Linked DNA regions of Nothobranchius furzeri. Each later gene encodes a partner of the first gene's protein in a complex. Links are inferred from orthologs where the notes say so. Each region holds a gene or a part of one and is shown in the gene's direction. Other genes may lie near its edges.

Evidence for each region. Proteins that work in one complex are often made in the same cells at the same time.
Region 2: piga (region 1) and phosphatidylinositol N-acetylglucosaminyltransferase subunit Y share a complex: the UniProt entries of both Homo sapiens proteins name them as parts of the glycosylphosphatidylinositol-N-acetylglucosaminyltransferase (GPI-GnT) complex. The link is inferred for Nothobranchius furzeri from reciprocal best matches to the Homo sapiens genes PIGA and PIGY.

Annotation. Positions count from the first base shown.
Region 1 is NC_091754.1:25,446,930-25,450,688, forward strand, and holds the start of piga (phosphatidylinositol N-acetylglucosaminyltransferase subunit A), read left to right. Parts: upstream 1-971; 5' UTR 972-1,102; intron 1,103-1,629; exon of another isoform or gene 1,630-1,732; 5' UTR 1,733-1,768; coding exon 1,769-2,206; intron 2,207-2,287; coding exon 2,288-2,558; intron 2,559-3,759. UniProt on the Homo sapiens protein: Catalytic subunit of the glycosylphosphatidylinositol-N-acetylglucosaminyltransferase (GPI-GnT) complex that catalyzes the transfer of N-acetylglucosamine from UDP-N-acetylglucosamine to phosphatidylinositol and participates in the first step of GPI biosynthesis.
Region 2 is NC_091744.1:85,184,337-85,186,254, reverse strand, and holds phosphatidylinositol N-acetylglucosaminyltransferase subunit Y, read left to right. Parts: upstream 1-837; coding exon 838-1,050; 3' UTR 1,051-1,346; downstream 1,347-1,918. Other genes in the region: pyurf (protein preY, mitochondrial), read left to right, coding at 604-745; triadin, read right to left, coding at 1,586-1,720. UniProt on the Homo sapiens protein: Part of the glycosylphosphatidylinositol-N-acetylglucosaminyltransferase (GPI-GnT) complex that catalyzes the transfer of N-acetylglucosamine from UDP-N-acetylglucosamine to phosphatidylinositol and participates in the first step of GPI biosynthesis.

The DNA of each region.
Region 1 (3,759 bases):
GGGATTTGAATTTCAATACTTTTCTAATAAATTCTGAGAAAACAAATCTGGTGATTAATTTCCCTTGTTTCTTACTGAAGCAAACCAACTTGTTTGGTTATCATTTTTAGTATTTTTTTGCTCATGAGCAGGCCCTTTACTATAGTGGATGATGCTAGCTGAACAATATTTGATTTCATGGCTAACCAAACACCTTTCACACTCAAATATTTTAGTCTTAAGAAGAAGAAGCAATATTTTATATTGTGCCTCTCAGGATAAAAATCAGGAGGCACTTCACAAGAGCAAAAAAAAATTTTTTTTTAAATGATTAAATATATCACAAAATGAGAAAATTTTAAAAATTGTAATTTTAAAAAATGTAAGGAAAGGGAAAGAAAATTAAGAAAGATGTAATCAGTGGATCCTGCAGAAGTGGTAAAAAACAAAGCTGAATAAGGAGAGAGTATGAAGCTCACACAAAAACACCAAAGGTCTGAACAGGTGAGTTTTCAGCTGCTGCACTTCAATACTAAATATACACCTACATACAAAGTTTACAGTAATTTATAATATTGTTATCCAAAAACAACATTCTGTTTACCAAGATTCTTGGGAATAAACACATTCCAAGGTGGTGTATGCCTAGAAAAGGTTATAGTAATCATTGTTTTGATTCTAACAAGTGAAAATATGACTGCAGCCAAAAGTGAACATTTTTGAAAGTTTATGTCCAATTATGAGCATGGACAGTGCAAAAATCAGTGGAAAACTTGCTGTTTTCCTAAACATTTGTAGCATTTTCTCTCATTTGAAAAAGTAAATTTGATTGTATATTCAACAAATATTTTGCTCTTCTTTTTTTCTTTCTTTTGTGTAGCCCCCGTTTTAATACCAACTTGATTTTTCTGTTGTTGTTAACAACGTTGTTATTTTCTAGAGCGCGCCAAAGCTTAGGGTCTGGACCGCGCATGCCTCTTGCGAGTGACGTAGGGCATCAACAGGAAGTGCGACCGGCAGCTAATCTGCTAGCAAAGAGCTACGGAGTTGACATGAATCTTCAACAAAACCAGAGTCGTTTTTGTTTTCACCGATTAGAACAAGACTGACATTTAATTTCGCGGTAAGGTGGCTGTAACTTTAAACAAGTATAGGATGCAATATTTGACTTTAAGTATAAACTATGGGTTTATTAGCTTGATAAAAACAGACGCTAGTTACCGGTAGTTATTATTCAAAATCATGTCTGAGTTACATTTACTAGTCATGACTTGTGTCGATGAGCCACGGTTCCTGTCAAGTACATGGTCCTAAACGGGAGATTCGTCAATGTGAATAAAGTGTGCTCATTTTAGAAACGGTTTCAATCCCTTTTAAACAGGCACAGACACCCTCCAGCATTAGTTTTGGTAAACTGAAGGTGTAGAAGTTGTTCAGTGTAATCATTATGAATCATTTAAATGTAATGGTACTAGCTGTTTTCATTGTTGTATTGTAGATTGCTGCTATTAAGAGTTTTGGTTTTATTAACAGAGGTTGAGAAAAGTAATAATCACAATAAGTTTTGAGAAAATTAGCTAAAATTCTTTAGGAATATAATGCTATATAGAAAAGTATTGATTAAAATGAAAAATGAATGTGACACAGTTAAATTTGAGGAAAGAGATTCATAAAATAAGTTTGACTTTCATTGTAATTAATTGTTATCTTTTGCTTTATGTGATATTATTCGGCACATCATAAATTATTTCAGCTCTGATTGATTGAAAAGCCACAGGAGGACTGCACGATGGGCCAGCGAAGGAGAGCAGGAGCAGTGAAAACTCTGTCATCTGAAAGAGACTCCGCAGATGTTGCCAGAATCTGCAACAGGAAGCACAACATCTGTATGGTGTCTGACTTTTTCTATCCAAACATGGGAGGAGTAGAAAGCCACATTTATCAGCTTTCTCAGTGTCTGATTGAAAAGGGACACAAGGTGGTAATTGCCACTCATGCCTACGGCAGGAGGAGGGGTGTGAGGTATTTAACCAATGGACTGAAGGTCTACTACCTGCCCCTGCAAGTGATGTACAGCCAGTCCACAGCCACCACCTGCGTCCACAGTCTCCCACTGCTGCGCTGTGTGTTTGTCAGGGAGCAGATCACCGTGGTACACGCACACAGTTCATTCTCTTCCATGGCCCACGATGCACTGTTCCACGCCAAAACCATGGGCCTCAACACCGTATGTGACTCTAAGCCATGTATGTCTCCCTTATTAATAACACACAGTTCAGTAATGTAAATGTTTTTCTTTTAATACCAGGTGTTTACTGACCACTCACTTTTTGGCTTTGCTGACCTCAGCTCCGTGCTGACCAACAAGCTTCTGACAATTACGCTGTGTGACACCAACCACATTGTGTGTGTTTCCTACACCAGTAAGGAGAACACGGTGCTCCGGGCTGTGCTCAACCCAGAGATCGTGTCTGTCATTCCCAATGCTGTTGACCCTACAGATTTTACTCCTGACCCGTCCCAGCGGCCAGCTGACAGGATCACAATAGTTGTCATCAGCCGGCTCGTCTACCGCAAAGGTACCCAGACCCTGTTGGGTTGGATGTTGTCATTCTTTGCTTCTTTTCTGCTTGTTTATAATGTATGTGTTGGTTTTGTTTGCATTGGAACATTGTAAAAATGTAGGCCAAATAGGCCAAATTTAGAGCATTTCACAGGTTACTCCAAAAATGTACTGAATAAAATTGACACAAGTATTTTTAAAATTGTCAAACAATATCAATCATGCGAGGCTTTTTTGAGTTTGAGTTTGCTCATCTGGAGCGCCTAACAGCTAGAATGGAAGATGGTTGACCCAGTTGTCGTGCAAACTGCACTGACAATCAAGAAAAGGAAGAACAAATATCTGGGGAGTCTTGAAAAGCATTAAAAGTTAATAAATTTATTTGAGGAAAATTAAGATCCTTAAAAAGTATTTAAATATCTTGAATCAATTTAAAAAGTCTTAAATTTAGTTAGTATTGATGTGTATTTACCATAAGGTTGTATAAAAATAGATGAAAGTAAACTAATATCATAAAATAATTATTTGTTCTTTCATGCCGGCTTTTTGCTTGCGTTTCCGTAACACGTGCCTTTACGTACCATTGCTACAGCCCTGCTATCATGGACGTGACATATCCCGCCAACTGATGAAGTGGTGCTGAATGCTGCTGTTGTGTCCTTGGGCAAGACACTTAACCCGCCTTGCCTGCTGGTGGTGGTCAGACCGTTGGCGCCAGTGCTCGACAGTCTCACCTCTGTCAGTGCGCCCAAGGGCGGCCGTGCCTACACTGTAGCTCATTACCACCAGTGTGTGAATGGGTGATTGTGTTGTGAAGCACCTTGGGGGGGTTGTAGAACCCTAAGAAGGCGTTATACAAATACAGGCTATTTACCATTTATTTGTTAGAGCCCAGCATATACCCTGTATTACCTGATGCCTTTATAATAATTAAAAAAGCATGGAAACTCCCAACATTTTAACCTCACCTCCTGGGCTCATGATGCTTTGTGATTTTTATCTTGAGAGATATAAATACAAAAGATCGTTTTCTTTCTTTCTTTATTTTCCTTTATGTAATTTGTCTGCAACACAAAGGAACAGAAAGCACACAGCTCTGTGGTTAAGCTCCCTTTCTCTGGAATAATGACTTTCAGTCAATTTCAGTTCCAGTCTACTGTTTCTGAGCCCTACTAATAAAAGTGTGGGTCATAGGGTCAGATCAAGAAAGTTGGGTT
Region 2 (1,918 bases), on another chromosome or scaffold:
GTTGTCTTCCTCCGCTTATCCGGGTCGCGGGGGCAGCAAGAACCTACCCAGCGAGAGCTGAAGGTCAGAGCTGGATGAAGCTAGGAGGACCACATCATCCGCAAAAAGCAGAGACGAGATTCTCCTGCCTCCAAACTCGACACACTCCACACCACGACTGGCTCCGGCCACCTTGCGACCACAGCTAGCAACAGCCGCCTTAACAATCGCAGAGTGGAACAAGGCCCACTCGGAGTCAATGTCCCCCACTGGTCTCGGGACGCGGTCAAAGCTCTGCCGGAGGTGGGAGTTGAAGACCGTCTTGACAGGTTCTTCTGCCAGGCGTTCCCAGCAGACCCTCACTATGCGTTTGGGTCTGCCAGGTCTACGCGACATCTTCCCCTGCCATCTGATCTAACTCCCCACCAGGTGGTGATCAGTTGACAGCTCCGCTCCTCTCTTCACTCTGGTGTCCAAAACACACGGCCGCAGGTCGGATGATACGACTTCAAAGTCTATCATCGACCTGCGACCTAGGCATTCATTATTAGAAATGACTGAACCAACGCATAAAACAGTCTAATCTGTTTTCCAGATAACTGATGTTCTTTTTCTTTCCTCTAGGTATGATGCCAATACCAACGAGCTGATCAATGAGGAGCTTGGCATCGCCTATCCCATCATCGACGGCATCCCCAACATGATCCCCCAGGAGGCCAGACTCCTTCAGAAGGACACAGACGCTTCTAATCCACCTGCACAGTAACAGAAAGTCTATCAAAGACCTTCATTTGCCAGAAAACCGATTGAGCACTGCTATTTTTTTAAAGAAAAAAACTGTAAAGCTAATCTGCTAGAATGCTCTCCTTGTCCGTGATGGTGGGACTGGTCCCCATCGTGTCACTCATTGGCTTGTTCTACTCTGCAGCCGTGGATGAGAACTTCCCTCAAGGCTGCACCAGCGGCAACAGTCTGTGCTTCTACAGCCTGCTGCTGCCGGTCACCATCCCCGTCTACGTCTTCTTCCATCTCTGGAGCTGGATGGGGATCAAGCTCTTCAGACACAACTAGGATGCTCTCTGAAAACAACCCACGGCATGTTTTCTGATGCACTTTTACCTCCTTTACCAACTTCAGTAACATTATTTTCTTTATTTCATGTCTGTTAAAGTCTGCTAGACTTGGGTTTTACTTGTCTGGAAGTTTAGGCTTGCAGGTAGGACTCATAGTAACCGAGTCCGTGTAAACGCTAACTGCTACTGAACAAACTCCTGTTATAAAATGGATAAATGTAACCGATTTAACAACTGAACTTCTTGGATTTTTCCAGTTCTTGCAGAAAAGAATAAACAACTTTATTGGAATAAGTTACTTTTATTTGATAAAAACATTTTCACACAGAACAGCTATTTAATGTCTGTTTTATGAAATGTGAACGTACTTCAGGGAGGAACAATCCAGCAAACATGCCTGTACTTCAAACACAAACTATCATCTTTTCATGCAAAACAAAACAAGTTTTAAAAAAGCTCGAACTTTTAAGCCTTTGACCCAAAATGCTCCGAAACAAACAAGAACAGCTTTCATCGTACGTTCACGTCCTTCCTTAGTGACACTTTTTGCTTTTAGGGTTTCTGCCCTGAGAAAATTTGGTCAGCGGAGACTCCGGCCGAGGCGACTGCCATTCTCCTTTTGTCTTGAAGAAGAAGGGTTTGTTTAGTCTCAGCTGGACCGCTCCGACCTGGGGGGGGGGGGAGGCTCTCTGTTAAACAGTGACACTTGTAAAAAGAACCACAGTCTGATAAAAGCATGAGAGGTTTGTGATACGTAGCATATGATTCAGGGCTGTCCAACTCGGACCCTTTAGATCTACCTATTGGGCCATTCCCATCTGTACCGGGTCGGCCCGGGCCGGGTAGCATAGGTTGTTTACATATCT